Linked DNA regions of Schizosaccharomyces pombe. The protein of the gene in region 3 interacts with the protein of the main gene of each other region in a biochemical or structural test. Each region holds a gene or a part of one and is shown on either strand. Other genes may lie near its edges. The genes, in order: zfs1, puf3 and rcd1.

The links.
Region 1: the proteins of rcd1 (region 3) and zfs1 form a complex in vitro, tested with the Schizosaccharomyces pombe proteins (one study listed by BioGRID).
Region 2: the proteins of rcd1 (region 3) and puf3 form a complex in vitro, tested with the Schizosaccharomyces pombe proteins (one study listed by BioGRID).

Annotation. Positions count from the first base shown.
Region 1 is NC_003423.3:3,482,297-3,489,371, reverse strand, and holds zfs1 (zinc finger protein), read left to right. Parts: upstream 1-1,925; 5' UTR 1,926-4,703; coding exon 4,704-5,918; 3' UTR 5,919-6,524; downstream 6,525-7,075. Other genes in the region: dynamin family GTPase Msp1, read right to left, coding at 6,763-7,075. UniProt on the Schizosaccharomyces pombe protein: Binds to specific AU-rich elements (ARE) in the 3'-untranslated region of target mRNAs and promotes their degradation. Binds to ARE present in the arz1 mRNA and stimulates the rate of arz1 mRNA decay.
Region 2 is NC_003424.3:942,729-948,848, forward strand, and holds puf3 (pumilio family RNA-binding protein Puf3), read right to left. Parts: upstream 4,181-6,120; 5' UTR 3,200-4,180; coding exon 1,233-3,199; intron 1,177-1,232; coding exon 1,013-1,176; intron 965-1,012; coding exon 897-964; 3' UTR 537-896; downstream 1-536. Other genes in the region: SPOM_SPAC1687.21 (fructose-2,6-bisphosphatase), read left to right, coding at 1-20, 77-438; Tim9-Tim10 complex subunit Tim10, read right to left, coding at 5,236-5,404, 5,753-5,853. UniProt on the Schizosaccharomyces pombe protein: RNA-binding protein involved in post-transcriptional regulation. Predominantly binds to mRNAs encoding mitochondrial proteins and localizes them to the vicinity of mitochondria for translation. Regulates mitochondrial biogenesis, motility and morphology.
Region 3 is NC_003424.3:5,416,866-5,421,236, forward strand, and holds rcd1 (CCR4-NOT complex subunit Rcd1), read right to left. Parts: upstream 2,309-4,371; 5' UTR 1,947-2,308; coding exon 1,095-1,946; 3' UTR 501-1,094; downstream 1-500. Other genes in the region: mtq1 (S-adenosylmethionine-dependent methyltransferase), read right to left, coding at 1-415; multidomain vesicle coat component Sec16, read left to right, coding at 3,132-4,371. UniProt on the Schizosaccharomyces pombe protein: A differentiation-controlling factor that is essential for the onset of sexual development. Induces ste11 when sexual development is invoked through nitrogen starvation.

The DNA.
Region 1 (7,075 bases), on a different chromosome or scaffold from region 3:
TAGATCACAAGGAAAACTCACCGCAGTTCTACGTATCCTTAAATCAGATACCAAACTGCGTAGCTTACAGTATAATAAATAACAGATTATTCCGTTACACAACACATTATTGACTAAACTTCCGTATATGAATTGAGTGTACGTTTTCACCATCATCAGTCAGTTCATTCGGTCGATACGCATGTGGCATGAATTTACCAGTTTTACGTGTTTCGTACAATGACAATTTGTGATTGCCGGTTTTGATGAATTCATCATGATACGATGGATTTGCTTCACTAGCAACGCCTATATGTTTAAAATGAAGACACTTAGGTCTAGAAATCTCTGTTTTTCTGTTTTCTGTTAAATCATTTTACCGAGAATAAAGGGGTATGTATGATGGATGGGGTACTTTCAATTCTTTGCTTTTCCTCGACCCACTGTAACCCAAGCAACATGCTAAAGAAAGCGAATCGGCCGTTTTCTCGATTTGAGTAGTATTATCATTGTTATTATAATTTGATATTTTAATATTGTTTTACTAGCAAGATCAACTTCCCTTTGTTCTTTTACATAGCGCAATTCCTCCTAGCTGAACACCTGACCGACCCCTTAACCCCTCCTCGTTCTCCCTTTGCCAAAATAAAAAAAAATAAAAAAAATAAAGAAAATATCAATAAATAATTTAATAAAAATTTTTTTTAAACAAAAATAGTTTTGAAACCCAAAATTAGGTAGACTATCTTTTGTATCATGCCGTAATTCGTATTCTCCGTCGTGTTTGCCAAAATTCAATCATCACTCAGATACTGTCAATAATAGCTTTTATATTTCAAATTATTCATCAATTTCATTTGTACTTTATTCATTTATTCCATTTTTCAACTTTTATTTAGATATCCTTACTCTTGTCTTTTTTACGTTTGTTTATGTCTTTTTGATGGATGGTTCTTGCAACTCGTTTTGCCATCTCCATCTCCCGCTGCTACTCTAAGCAAAAGCATTGCCGATGCATAACAACGCCTTCCGTAATTTTTATTAGTCCTCCGTATGACCACATTTGTCTGTAGTAAAAATGAGCTGTCCAGTCGAGAACTCCAGCTTCGTATGCATGCTTCCGGATCCTATCGTGCTCAAAGACCATCCCGCTATCTTACTTTACAATGTAGATTTGAACACGCCCCAGTGTGGAGGTAAACTTTCTGGGCCTTTTGAGCAATGGTAAGTACGTGTCTTCCGTTCATTATCCCAATCAGCTACAATTTATCGCCAATACTCTCCAATGAATGGAAGAACAATTACCAAACAAACACTGGGGATTGTGCCCACAGTAGATTGCGTGTAGAAGGGATAACAAACATGCTATTGCCATGCATGCATCTACACCAAGGAAATTAGAAAAAAATTTGTTCAAAAACGAAAAACTATTCTTTTTGATAATATGTGTAAAAATAAAATAAAATAAAATAAAATAAAATAAAATAAAATAAAATACCAATACATTTTGTTTCATATAGAATATAGAACTGCTCATAAATTAAAAAATAGCCTGCATCAAAAAAATTTATTCCAATTCCCTCGTCTTTACCTAAAACAACTAATACTGTACTACTTTTTTTAAATCGCATTCCTTTAGAGCACGCACTTTTCGAACCAATACACCGCCATTCTATGCAATGCTTCCCCTTTCCCTATTGTAATTCTACCGATAATTTTATTCTCGGAGTTGTTTTATGACTTTCTAATTTACTTTGTAAATTTTTCTTTTTTTGAAAGCTCCTCCATCTGTCCTTGCTCACGTTTGCCATCTTTCCATTTCAACACTGTAGTGTACTGCGCCACAACATCCGCACTGAGTGTCTTTTGCACATACCACTGATTTTACCGACATTCCCCACTTTTAAACAACTTGTAAGCACAGGGCTTGTTGAGTCCATCAACTTGCTCTTTCGACATCTTCTAGGTCGTTGACTTTACGTAGTATAAAGTGGCATTGATGCTCGAACACAATTAACTAATCTTAACACATTGATAATTGGTTTCTTTGTGTTTTAAACAAAAAAAAATTTCATCTCTTTTGTTGTCCCATATATATATTGATTGCGTGTAACCTTGAAATAACCTCAATTTCTGTACCGGGGTCGTTGCGTATCGAAACACTATTGTTATCGTCCTAGCATATTTGGATACTGTGTACTACACTATTGTCGTGCTCTCTTTTACTTTACTTTACTCACTTTTCCTTCCTTCTTGCCCGACACGACATTGAAACTGCTGGCTTCCTAGCCTTGCTCCTCCTTTTCGACCGGACCTGCTACGTGCTGTAAATTGATTAATCGTATACAATTGTGGTTTTTGACAATTTTCTTTTATTCTGTCGATTTTCTCTTTTTCTCTTATCACGACTTTCTGCTTCTCTTCTACAATATTTTGCTAATCGGCTTGTGTTGTATCAACAGCAAAGCTAAGTGACTTGACATTACTAGAATTCTTCCTTTCCTTCAAAAACACGTGCAAGTTTGTTCCATTTTAATATCTACGTTTCCTTCCTTGATTGCACTATTTCATCATTAGAGGGAACCACTTTTCTATATTACCAAGCACCTACTTATTTGGGATTTATTTATTTTTATTTCCTACGGCTAACTCGATTACGATTAGTGCGCGGCTTTTTCTCTTTGGAAAAATTTTTCTTGTTGGAACGGTTGTCAATCGCGTGCTATATTGCTTTCCTTCTTACCCGTTTACAATTTAGCTTTCCCTTTTCTCCTTTTGCAATTTTTTTTGGGTTTTTTTTAAAACGTACACACGCACTGTGTATTCCATCTAGCCATCAATCCTTCATTTTTTTTCCACCGATTAATCCTTTTCTATATATACCGGAATTTTCCGTCTTTTCTTTTTCGGACACTTTTACGAGCTGTTGCGAATTTCGTTATTCTTAGTTTGTGTTATTTGCTTTTAGCCGCCCTTTTTCTTCTTCTCTGCATCAACATAACAGGTCAGGGACCAGACAGGACAGGACGAAACAACAACGTAATCGTTCAACCAACTTCTATTACCATCGACCTCTAACTTACCGACTTACCACCACAACACTTTCCTCCAGAATAGTTGAAAGCCTTTTGACTTTGCTGAATCTTTCTTTGTGTGTCCGTGTGTGTGTCTGTTTTTTTCAAATTCATCACTGTTTGAATATCGGCATCTCATCCTTTTTCTCAATTTCTCAATTTCTTGCCTGAGATACCGTTTGTTCTTTCCGTTGAATACTTTTTTTCTGCAGTGTGAAAAAATTCCGTTTTACGTTGACAAAACATTTATCTCGGATTGAAAGTTGTTTTCGTAGCTGTTTGTTTTAGTCTATTCCTTTCAACCGGTTTTCTTGTCTCTGTTAGATTTGTTTTCTCTTCTTCATTCTGAGTCAAGCTCTGGGTTTTTTTCTTTGTTGGAAAACCATTCTCTTTTCAATTTTATTTCTCTTTTCTGATATCGAAGCAAAAGAGCTCCTAAACGCTCTCAATTACTGTTTAACGTAACAGATATATTAACATCTTAGTATATTTGCGTTTTATTTGTTGAAACTTTCGCATATCCCCTTAAAGCTTTTTGTGGCAATCCTTATCTGATATTGATTTATTCTTTTGATTCGCCATTTCTTTCGACGTTTTTAAAGTACTCTAAAAGAGAAATTATTTAAAATACTTTAAATTGGGCTCTGTTCTTTTCTCCATCCCACTTTTGTATCTTTGCAGCAATAGTCGGTTTGGTTGATAATCCCTATATTTCTTTGGACAAGATATTATCTTTTGCTGAAAAAACACCCCATCTTTCGATTTTGAAATTTTTTTTTCTGTTTCAATTTCTTATTTCTTTCTACTGATTACTCTCCTCATCAATTCTCACTCTTTTTTCATTTCAAATCTCGCTTTTATCCTATATCAGTGATAAAACTCCTGTTTGATGCTCACCTTGCACATTGGCACTAACTTTAACGTTTTCCCTTTATATCCGCAAATTCCCTTTTTTTTGTGCTTCGTATATTAAAAGCGTTCCCTTATTAGGTTTTTTTATACATTAAGGATTTACGATTAGTCTCATTTTGTTGTGTTTTGAGATTTGTGTTTTATGTTCATCTGTTGTATTCACTTACTTCAGAGAAAAAAAAGGCGTTTTTGTTCTTTTGGTTTAAATTTTATTCCCTAAAATTTGCATTCAACTCGGATTTTTTCTTTGTTTGACGACTGTTTTTTGAAAAGGATTGCTTTGGGTCACAAACACAATACATCCATCTATTAAACTTTTGTCTTCTATACTTTTACTTCCTTCTCAAAATCTTTCCTTATATCATTGTGTGGTTTCTCTCCGTTTTCTTGTATCTTTTCTGTTCGACTTCTGAAAAAACAGCGTCTCTATACTATTGATTTTCATCTTAAATTTGCGTGTTTTCTTTTTAACTCTACGTTTCTCTCGTTTTTCTGCATATTACTTTCGGTGATTACCCTGTAATTCTATTTTGAAGGTTGACGTTTTTTTCAAGTTCCTGATTCCATAATTCTATTTAACACAAGTTTTTTACTGGAATTTTTTAAGTTATTCTGCGCAACCTTTTTTTGATTCATTTTACAACTTCTTTGTTCGTTTATAACTAATCTTCTATTGTATCACTTTTTTCTAGTGAACTTCATTAATTTATTGCGTGTCTGTTTTTTATTCTTTTAACCATGGTTTATTCTCCTATGTCTCGACCTCAAGTACCTCTGGCTTTTCGCCAATGGCCCCCCTACAATTATAAGAGTGATCCCCTTGTCAACTCAAAACTATCTCAGTCTACTACGTCTGTTAATGCAGGACCCAGTTTAATAAGTCCATCATTCCTTGACTCCTACGCCAACTCCTCATCTTTACTTCACAAGCCATCTACAAATTTGGGCAGTTTAAAGACATCTAGTCTTCTCGCCTCTGATGAAGTTTTCCCTTCTTCAGTCATGCCCCAGCTTCGTCCATTGGATTCAAGTTTATCTGTTTCTCCTGAAATGGACGGTTGGCCATGGCATCACAATTCTTCTTCTAACCCACAGGGATACGCATGGACACCTTCATTACTTTCTTCCAACGCTACTAGCTATTTACATTCTGGTAGTTCTCCTCATGGAAACACAAGCAATCATCCTTCACCTATATCATCCTTGGAGAGTCTTCCTTCTCGTAGTAGCACTGGTAGTGGTAGTCTTGATTTTTCCGGCCTTGCCAATCTCCACGATGATTCCAAATCACTGGCCATGTCTTTGAACATGGCTGGCGTCCCTGTATCCGTCGATGAGAACTCTCAAACTTCGTTTCCTTTTGTTCATGGTCAACCGGAATCTACCATGTCTAGAAAACCTAAGCTGTGCGTTCAATCGAAATCAATGACAAACATCCGCAACTCTGTTGCTAAACCGTCGTTAGTTAGACAATCGCATTCAGCGGGGGTTATTCCCATCAAGCCTACAGCATCGAATGCCTCAATTCGCAATGCTCCTTCCAATTTATCAAAGCAATTTTCACCTTCGGGTAATAGTCCTCTTACTGAGGCTTCCAAACCTTTCGTTCCTCAACCATCAGCTGCAGGAGATTTTCGCCAAGCTAAGGGTTCAGCTAGCCATCCTCATGGTTCTGGCAGTAGTAATGGGGTAGCTCCCAACGGCAAGCGCGCATTATATAAGACCGAGCCTTGCAAGAATTGGCAAATTAGTGGAACTTGCCGTTATGGCTCTAAATGTCAATTTGCGCATGGCAACCAGGAACTGAAAGAACCTCCTCGTCACCCAAAATACAAAAGCGAGCGTTGCCGATCTTTCATGATGTATGGTTATTGTCCTTACGGATTGCGATGCTGCTTTTTGCATGATGAATCCAATGCTCAAAAAAGTGCAACTATTAAGCAATCTCCTTGATATCACATCAGCTTGTATAAGATGACTTTTGTTCTTTGTTGTTATGCAATCTGGGTGAGATTAATTTATTATGACGCTTACTTTCCTATCCTCCTTGGTTTTCTTATACGGTTATTATTTATATTGTTCTTCTGTAACATTATGTGAGCTTTTCTTTTGCAATCGCCTTTACCTTGTTTTTATTTATGGTTTTATCGCAAGGTTTGAGTTTGCCAGTCATGTTCACACTTTATTCTTTATTTATTTGATGACCTTATTGGTCAAGATAGAATTTATAAGAGAAAAAAATTAAAGAAGATCATGAGTTAGTTACTCTGTCATATGTCAGGGTACTGTTTTTATTTTTGCAAATCATGTACCTTTAGCTTTTTGCAGAATGGCGATTTAAAGAGTTATGAGAAGATTGGACAATATATATTTATAGTATTAAATTCGAATCTTGTTTACTTCGTCTAGCAATGCGATACGCATGAATCGGGGTTTTATTAGATTTGTGTGGTATCTGTAATATACTGTTATAATTCGAATCAAGGGAGTTTCTTAAAATACCCAATCTTATTACGAAAATGATTTATGCAATCAGGGAGATTTGATGAGCGAAGCCTATGTATTATTTGAATAACAGTAACGTTACTGCAAAAATTTAAGTAGTTATTTGAATGTTGTGCACTTTTCATAAACATAGATTTGCAATATGCATCAAAAATTTGTAACGCAATTCTGTACTGCTTACAAACAATTTTATTCACGAGAAAACTACCAGGCTATACATAGTAACACATACAAGCATTTTTGGAAAGTTAGTTAAAAAAATTCATTAAACTCGGACTACTTTACTCGTTATTTAATCGCTATCGGCTTGCTGTTCCAAGATAACTAATGAATTGATCTTCTGCAGAGCCAATTCCAAACATTGCCGCTTATGCTGCAACTGTAGCTGTGACTTGAGACGAGGATTTTCATTGACAAATGCATTCAACTGTTCAGAACTCAAAGAATGGATGAGACGCTGATCCAGTTCACGTGGAAATTGGTAATAAAACTCAGAAAGCAGCTCAATATTAATAAATAAAACTGCGGTATTAACCAGTTTATCAGAAACGGCATTTAAAAAAATTTCAGGACAGGTGTACTTCGCTTCTTTGTGCTTACAGGCC
Region 2 (6,120 bases), 4.5 Mb from region 3:
AGTCTATGGTGATCTTGAAGGTATGAATTTTGTATAAACAAGTACTTTTCTAATATAAAAAATTCTAATGAAATAGGCATGAACGTTGTAGAAGCCAAAAAACTGTTGAATGCCAACCATCCAGATCATTATGGAGAGGGTTTGTCTCATCTTACTAGTCGTCTATTGAAGTTTTGGGATGAATATGTCGTCCCTTTACAAGGCAAGAAAAAATGTGTTATTGTCCTTTGCCATGGAGGTGTTATCAATGTTTTGCGAACTCATTTTATGGAGGAAAAGGGTTTCACTTTTGACAAATCGAAACTCGAAAGCAAAATCATAACCTTTAATACCAGCATTACTGAGATTGAGGTGACTGAGCATGGGACCGGTCATATTCATACGTTCGGAGATGCCTCTCACCTTGAATCGGAAGAGACTGGCAAATTAATTGCTTAAACCTCTTACTTACTATTTTTGACCTATCAAGCTTTCCTTTGCTCGTTTTAGATAGCTAGTACTAATGTTTTAGTGATAGCTCACGTTTAAATTAAAATTTTCAAATAATTTTGTTTTTTAGTATATGCTTATATAAAATTTTAAATTAATATTTTTTCATTCAAAAGGTAAATTTGGCTTATCTTAAATAATAAGTGCTGCTGTTCGTCTCCATATATAGTGAATATAATCATAAAAATGATAACAATAATAACAATATCATAATGGAATAAAGAGCATCACGTTTAACATTTCGGTTCATTTCGTGCCCCGCTGATGAGATGCGGAAAGTGTCATAAAGTACATGAAAAAACAAACACATTAAAAAAAAAGGTTTATGTACAACTTCTAACGGAAGAGTTTTGTACCACTTTAAGCCGGCGAAGCAAGGCAAAATCCACATTCATCATATTATATGGTTACTTGCATTCCTTGCTGGCCAGCTTGGGAACTGCGGAAATGGATTTTTGACGGAAACGTTCCACCGCTATCATAATAATTAGTAACGAAAAAAAAAATTGAATAAACCACTTACACATTATCAAATGCTTCCCATAGGTAAATTTTTTAAGAACAGATATATGAGGATATATGTAAGAAATAAGAAGATCCCTTTCCTCCTCTGGAGAGGCATCAAGTAATTTTTGAATCACATAGTTCGCATATTTATCCTTCATCATTAACATCAAAATACTACAACTTAACGAAATTAGTTAGATACATTCTTGGAGTTGCAAATAAAAGAGGATACTTACTTTTCAGCCTTCTCAGAGATGATTTTGTTCAAAATTCGACGTCGATCAACGTCGGAAATGTAAGAAATACACCTTTCTACAACATTAGATGCAAACTTATGACAACTTAAAAATAGCAAATGATCTATCATAAGATCAAAAATGTACTTTTTGTCGCTCTCGCTTCCGGTTCTCAATATATGTTGAACAACGTAATTTCCATATTGGTCTTGAGTTAATTTCAAAATGTGAGGTAGCAGTTCTTCTATAATTAATTTACGCTCACTATGACAATGCTCAATGGCACGCTGTATAACTCGACAACCGTATGGATGGGCGGAAAGGACATGAATTTGTGGGCGCAAAGCTCTAAGAATGAACTGTAAGTGTCCAGTATCAATGCATTCGATAGCTTTTTGAATAACATGATTTCCATTCTGGTCACATACACAATCTAGGACGTGACCATCTAATTCCTGAATAAGTTGAACTTGGTGCTCAGGAGAAATATATTCAATAGCTTTTTGAACAACTCGGCAACCATACATTTGCAAAGATAAGGAAAAAACATGACCTTTAATCTGCGACAATAATATTTGTTTCTGCTTCTCGTTACCAAATTCGAAGTACTTTTGCACCACATAATTACCAAAGATATCCATCATTAATTGCAAACAGCTAGTAGACGCAATCTCTTGAAAAACTGCTTCCCTTTCTTCTTCAGTGGCCGTCGCAAGCTTTTGTTGAATAAATCTTGAGCCATGTTGATCGGTACTGAACAAAACTACATTTCCAAGGATATCAGATAACTCGAAATGTCTCTGCTTATTTGCATGAAATAAGTACAGAACTCTGGATTGTTGCAAAAATTCCTGTCCATTTTGATTAATTAACGAAGGGTTAGCTGGAGTGGCTGCCGAAAAATTGGAAGTTGGTAATACACTTATAGGAATAGTCCCAGGAGCAACTACTTCAGAAGGATTGGTTTCGGTTTTTGGAATACCAAAGGCAGATATATCAGGCAAACTTTGTCTAAATGAAGTACCAATAGGAGAAACAGTAGGACGTACAGAGGCTGATCCAAAAAATGACGAATCATTCTTCAAAGTAGGTGAATTACCATTAGCAAATGCAGGAGAAGTTCCATAACTTTGATGAGCCATCAAACTTGAGTCGAATGAGCCATCCCAAGACGGTTTAAAAGATCCTGAGCCACTTGAAATAGAAGATTGGGTAATAGTAGTTAAATCGCCTATTGATGAATGTGAAGCATGTCTTGAAGGTTTACTTGTAGCTGGGATCCAAAAATCAGAATGTGCGCGCGTATGGCGAGGGAAAAACTTATCAGATGTTCTTGCTGTGCTAGCAGAAACTGTACGAGCAGAATCACCACCAATGGGCGTCAATGGGGATTTTAGGGTTTGTGGAAATCGGGCGCCGCACTCAGAGTTCAACTGACCATAAAGTTCTGTCTTCAAAGGACGCAAATCGGAATGTAGGCCAGATAAAGAAGAGCTAGTTGATTCGGAACGCTTACGAAAAGGGACCTCCAGTGAGTTAGGAAACTTCGAGATAACAGAATCTTCTTGCAAATTAACAAGACTTGGCATCGCCTTTATACTTTGTTTACCATTAGGGAAGGGATTACCATGATGATTAGCCGAAGGGGCAGTAGGCGTAGATACCAGTGAATCGGGAGAATCCCCGTCAAGTGAAAGCCAAGTTAAAGACGGGATCGGGTTAGAGTAGGAAACAGGTGACTCTAAGGAAGCTTGTTTGTTTGATCCGTGTGGGAAAGTATAGTTAGAACTGATCATAGAGGAATTGAAGAATGAAGAAGTTGGTGATGTGCCAGACAAAAGACTGGGCCGACGTTGACCATAATTATTCGTATCCAAAGAAGATACAGGTGCTGACGGGAAATTGAATGCAGAATTTCCCGAAATGCTCTCAGATGCGTTTGGATTGGAATTTACAGCAGTAAACATCACAAAATGGAAACACAGTTTTCACAGGTAAGCGAAAGTGTAAAGATTTACAAATGATGTAGCACAAAAAAGGAGTGTAACGAAGTTTTACTGATACTTGGAGCAAACCAAAAAGCACAAAGAAGGATATAACAGTAAAAAAAGAATAGAAATAGAAACAACCCAAATGAAATAAAGTAAATGTCGCTTGTCTCCACTGGTTGATTGTACCGGTCAAAGTAATAAGTTAAACAAAAATACTTGAGGAAAAGTATTTCTACGGCTTTGAATTGAGACCTATTATTGCATAAATAGCGGCAAAAAATTGGATGATTCTTCAAAATCTCGTAAGAGTTTAGCAACGACTGCTTCACTCACTAACGAAGGACACCAAAAGAATTAGTAATGTATATATATATATATATATATATATATATGTTATGAATATTATATATATAAATTAGTTAAATCAAATAAATCAATGTCGGGTAAAGCTCGGGAAAAAAACTTTTGGAAGGGTAAAGCTTATATAAGGGAGATGCAACGAATATGAAATTGTGTTCGAAGTGTTATGAACTTACAAAAAGTAGAAAAAAATCTAGAAGAGGAAGGTAAAAAAAGAAAAAAAAGAATCAATGAATCGATAAAGAATGATTGTTAGAATCAAATTTCCCGTTTTCGAATCGAAGAAGCCCAACAAGTATTAACATGAAATCGTAGTTGAGAATAATGATGATGAAAAAGGATTCGCCAAGACTAGTCAGCGTTCAATTATGGTAATTTTAGTACCTAAAGCTTCTTTTCTTTTTAATGAAACGAGATTTCACAATTTCGAGCGCCTTAGGTGGTATTAAGGAAATTAAAGTATGCTTCTGATATGATGAATCAGTAGTTTTTCAAAGTGCTTTCCGATTAATTGATATCAAACTTAGAAAAAAATGTAAAGAAACCAAAAGGGTAAAAAATAAAATGCAATTCAAACTTGGAGTCGAAGTGGTTCCCGGTAAGTTTGATGAGCTGAGCGCTTCCACTTTATGTCATGACGATCGGTCGAACAAACCATTAAACAAATATACAATGTCGTTAATCTTACAATTTTATTTCTATTTTTTACAAACTTAGAATTACTATTTATGTATTCAACTATAGCAATTGCTGCATATCGACTACCAAACGACTTTCGTTCACTGCGCTCAACGGTACTATATCCGCAGACATATCTCTTGTCTATTGAAATCAGCCGTCAGGCGTATAGCGTGCCTTTACTTTCCGTGAAACACTTAACGCAGGCACGGAACAAGGTGGAACGCAGCTCCGACTAGGTTCGGAAAGAAATCTTCGAAGAACACAAATGCTTGTGAGTAATGCTGCAGTACAGTGTGTACTTTATATCGTTATAGAAGGTAATGCACAAGAGATTTACAATTGCAAAAGTCTCAAGGAGGCGCTGCATGAGGCATCTCTTCCAAGAAGTTCACAAAAACGACAGCTTCCGTGGGGGCTAATAGCGGGACACTATTTCCTAAAACATAAGTTATTTACATCTCCTAGAGTCTAGAAAACGATAGCGTAATGAGTAATTTTCGGCTAAAACAAATGACTGCTAAATCATGGGTTGAATAGTAAAAGGTTTCAGTTTGAGAACGGGTGATTAATAATAATAGCAACAATTACAGATGGGAAAACTTGAGGGCTTGGTGGAACTTTCGTTTGAAATACGATAGAAAGAGTGTCATGAAAGAGTTAATAATTAGTATTGCTTCGTTTGAAAAAGAAGAGAGAAGTTGATCATTCCATAGATTATAGAGTATCGTAAATGGTTTAACACGACATCAAATAAAAAAGAACGAAATTATTTCTGTATGAACCACCATATCACGGATGTGCGCACAGGTTTCATTCCATTATTCAAAATAATACTATAAATTAATTTTATTTATTGTATAATGAGAATCCCAAAAGTCGTAGAGAAATTTTTAAAGCATTCCATCCGTAACATAGGATCGGACATGACCCATTTTATACTACAATGGTAGATGTGTTGATAATCAAAGGGCTCATGGTGTTGGATTTTCTTGACCACGCTTTTGCATGTGCTGTGAAAGACTCTGATTTGCTTCAAAGTATTTCGATACACAACGGTCAATACACACGCTTTCTCCTTTCGTTAAATCGGCTTCATAGTATTTAGGAGATATGCACTTTTTATGACAGGTCATTACAAGTCTAGAAAGGAATGTTAGCGACTTTTGTAGAAAAATTTTTAGAAATTCGTCGGATTGGTCTTTTCATAAGATAAAACAATGTAAATGTATTAAAGAAGTAAACAAATACTTATGTAAAATTGGAATAATATTACGTTGCCAAAAATTAGTCTACCAAAGTACCATAGTTTTTAAAAAAGCTAGGTATGCAGTACAATTGACTTAAACGAGTACAGCACTACTTTCAAGGTATGTACTGAGACTTTGTAACTTTTTGACAACCCTTCGAATACTTAAATTCACGATGAATTTTGAAACGTAAAAATAGACGGCTGTAAATATCAATCCTTAGCTTCTCTATTAAGCATACCTATTAAAGATATCAGACATCATCTCAACCTCTTGCTCAGCCATAGCAATGTTCTGAGGATTAATGGTCTGATTATTCTTTCCGATTCCAAACATAGACATTTTTATAGATTTATGGCGCAAAGATTGCTTTCAATTTGGTTTTTTTATTAAACCGATAGCACTGTTGCGGTGGAATGAGAGTAGGCATATTGTTAAAGCATCTACCTTAAAGTAGCAGTGAGCTTTCAAGTAACATCCTTAGTTTTTAGGCTACGATGTACCATGAGAACTCCACGTTGTCCGCTTAATAATTATCAGTTTGTAGTCATTCTCTATTTCTTTAATTTCTTAAAACTACCTGCTAATTTGTTCATAAAAAATTGGACT
Region 3 (4,371 bases):
TTAGGTTTGCCAACACAAAGCTTGATATGCAGCCAGACCCTGTACATAAATCGAGAATCTTTAACGGTTTTAATCTCTCGAGTCGATTTAGCTTATCAACCACACGTTCAACCCATTCTTCTGTTTCCCAACGAGGTATTAAAACTCCTTGTTGACAATCTATCTTGATATTACCAAAAGGTTGACTTTTCAGTATATACTGAAGTGGATAGTTTCTTGCTCGAAGTTGACAGGCATTTACTATCTTTTTTCGCAACCCATGTTTGCTAATTTCTGGATACAGCAGCTTTAATTCCTTGCATATCCACGTCCACTCTCTTTTAGCCAAAGATGGATCTCTTGTGGCATGATAAAGAGGGAGTAGGCAAGGGTTTTCTCGATATAAAGCAAATTTAGTAATTCTTGGTAGTCGCATATGACAAACACTATAATTAGGAGGACAAATTATCTCAAATTACTTTTATCTGATTATTTGCTTGAATGAAGTATAGCAGAATTAACGAACGTAAATATAAATCAAATTCTGTTGTCTATTGTACGAATTCTTTAAATTTATTAGAGGTAATCGATGAAACTGAATTGAATATTGTAGAAATAGTATAAGTATATATGATACGAAATAGGAAAAAAGGTGTTTTGGTTAAAAACATTAAATGCGTCGGCGAATGTTATATCTTTTTCTATTTTTTTTTTTAAATTTTGCTGACTCGTAAAAATCATCATTCGTGACGCATTTTAAGGAAAGATTAAGAGAAAAGGATATGAAATCCTGAATCTAACAATTGTAAGCAAAATTAACAGTAAACCCCTGATTTCCTTAAAAAAGCCATCAGAGTAAGTTCTGTCCTGAGGAATAACTTGAGCACATTAAGAGGAGTGAAAAATGACAGGGCAAAAATAATAATAAAGGAAGATATAAGAAAGACACAAGAAAAAATTGGTGACGGACGAATAACACAAAAAATCGCCATATGCCAATCACTTACGGTCACAAATTATGATTGAAAGTAAACCAGATAGGAAACGAAGGGCAGATATTGAAATAATTAATTCAACATTTAAGAAAAGTTTTTTAAAAAAAAAAAAAATAACGATTACTGATTAACAACGGCGACGTCTGATAAGTTGATTAACAATTGGGCAAGACATTTTTTAGTGTTGTGATCATCCTTTAAAACCTGAGCAAAGGTAGCATCACGTAAAGGTTCTGGTAGACAGTGTCTTAGAGCTTCTCTGGCGCGAGGATTGTCACTAAGACGAAGATAGCAACGAATAACATGCTTTAGTAAACGAAAAGCAAAAGAGTCTACAAGCTGCATTACCATGTTGTTCAAAACCGACGCAACTGCATAAAAGCGTTCATATGTTTGACAAATATATTGAAGACCAACGTCGTCACATAAAAATTTTTGTACGATGAAAATCGCAACGGTTTTTGATAATTCAGAACCGTTCTCCATGATTCTGAGACAAAGAGGAATAATTTCTGTAGATAATAAAAAGTTGATTACTTCTGGAGAGTCATTTTTAACTAATGCACCAATCACCCCTAAACTAGTAAGGCGCAGGTATTCAAAAGGTTTGGATTTTGAAAGGGTATTCAAAAACGGGTATAGAAATAAAGTAATGTGTGCATTTAAAAAGTGGATTCTAGTTTCAGGATGAGAAGCGATACACTGGAGTAAAGCTAGCGCGTTGCACACTCTGTTACTAGTTGGTCCTGTAAGTGTGGGTGGATTTAAAAGAGGATAAACGCTGATAATTTCTTGCAACAAAGCCGTCATCACACCATATGAATGCCATAAAATAAGAGCCAAATCTTCATACTGTTCTCGTTTACGAGATAGTTCGACAAGAGCTTGTTCGCGAGATGTCCCAGAAACAAGTTGAATTATCCATTCATAGACAAGTGCTGGTTCATAATTAGGGGATTCCAAGTTTTCCATTTTTTCTAGAATGCGGGAAAGAAATAAAAATGCTATAGTTTATTGTCGAAAAGAATAAAATAAAGAATAATAATTTTATAGCTGCCGGAACTAAAGAGCAACACCTAACGAATTTGTAGTTCAATCCAAAGGATAGAATAATGCACTAAAAGGTAAAGAAAAGGTATTAACGTTAAACGACAGTCAGTAAAGTGCTGAGTGTCGAGAAAATGATAAAGCTTTTAAAATTTTAATGGAATTTCAGTCCTCGTGCTATGCGTGCCAAACAGTATCAACTTGCACAGCAATACTGGACTTAAATAATTTAAAATACAACAATCTTATAAACCTGAACTGCAAATGCTGTTCCGTAGATTTCGCGTGAGAGCAATGGACAAGCACAGTGTTGGCAGGGAATAGCAAACCTACCGCACTGCGCGTTAGAAAAATGCAAGATACATTACTGAGTAATAAGGAGAATCAAATATTTTTAAAGAAAAGTGGGCAAAACGCATTTAGAAAAGGTATTTAACCATTCTTAGCTCGCTTCTAATAGAAGCTATAAAATAACAGAGATATAAGAAAAGGAATTTACCTATGTTATATCTTTGAAAGCCTTTTTTAAAAGTTATTTCTAACGCTTTTGTAAATACTACTTTTCTAAAGATTTGTAAATACATATTCATACCGAATGCGTAACCGTTGATGTTTGCTAATTGCACATCATTTACACTTTCATCAAGAGTAATTTAGTATTCAAACATATAATAACTTGAGCCGTTTCTTCTTCAATAATTGCGTTAATGTTTGAATAGCTTTTTTGTTTACTATATTTACCCTTACGAAGAATTATGAACAACATTCACGAACAATTAATATAGCGTAGTATAAGGATGTATGCTATTCTGCTTCTGACTTTAATCTCTCGATACTGACTGGCGCCATCAACAAACTTCCTACCATTTTCTATATCCTTGTGGTTGATTGTTTTTTATTTGAACCTACCTATTATTATTTTCGATTACTGTTTGTGAAATTTTGGTTGACCATTTCTCATGGAAAGCTAGGGGCCAATTTTTTTCCTACAACTTTGAGCATTGTTTTATCCTCCATTTATTGGTATACTTTGCTGCCTATTTTTCGTTTAAAAAATAAGCTAAATTTTTCGTCTTAGTAATATAATATTGGGCACTAACGTATCAAGGAATGGATATTGAATCAGACCACGAGCCTAAGGAGTCTTCTGTTGATCTTGAAGGACGGCATGATTCTATACGCAAGTCTTTTGAAGCTGACGATATTGATGTGACAGATGAAAACACCATTTTTTCTACCTCTAGAAAAGAACAAAGCACAATTGAACCTATGGATTCCTTTGTTGAAAACAACATAGCCAATAGCTCCTCTCAACAGTCAGTTTCAGAAATTGACATTCAGTTGCCTTCCTCTGAGCCTAAAGAAGGTGTTAAAGAAGAAAGCAACTTAATAGAGAGTAATTCTTTGGACAATGTGCAGGAAATTAATCCTCAAAATACCATTGGCGACAAATCGGCTCACACAGAAGAGGAGTCTTCAAATGATAACTTGGTAAAAATTACTGCTGGAACCATTATTTCTGACATAATGGATGAGCCTGTTGTGGATGAAGACGATAAACTCTCTGAAGAAGACTTGAGCAAGGAAGACTTAGAAACGACTCTTAAGGGTGACGAAAACTATTCATCGTCGCAAAAAGAAATATATGATAATGATGAGACAATTCCTAAACCACCATCTCCAGAAGTCGAAAAGATAGAAACTAGTACTTCAGTTGAGAATGCATACATTACGAACTCTCAATATAATGACACTCTTGATATGGAAGATCAGACATCTGATTTAATTACAACTTTTGAGCATGAAAATGAAGACCATGAAGTCCACGAGGTTCCTTCCATTCACGGAATGGAAGGGACTTTTGAAACCGTAAATCTAACTTCTGAAGCTGGGAATGAAAAAGAGTTTAACAACGATTCTGTAGTATTGAATACGACGCCAAAAGAAATGCAAATTTCATCTTTAGATGCTGTTGACAAACTTGAAGATAAGCCTGTTTCGAACGACAATATCAAAGCCAATATAGAATCGTCGACTACAGTTGATAGGGCTTCATCTCAGCTTGAATCGGAAAATAACGAATCCACTTTTTTTGTACATAACCAAAATTCCTCCGGGCAACATCAAACTTTGGATTTCGTCGCAAGCAAACCCGTTACCGATACCCCTGAGCTTAGTAAGGAAAATACGTTGGTGTCTTCTGAAAACCTAAATGATCCCAAACCAAATTTGCCGGAGACTGAGGTTGATTTTGGAGAGCCTTTGGAAGTTGAGGCTCCCAGTTTTGTGGTCCAGAATAACAGTGCTGTGCAGCCAACGACCCAGAAAACTTCCGAAGATTCAACCGATC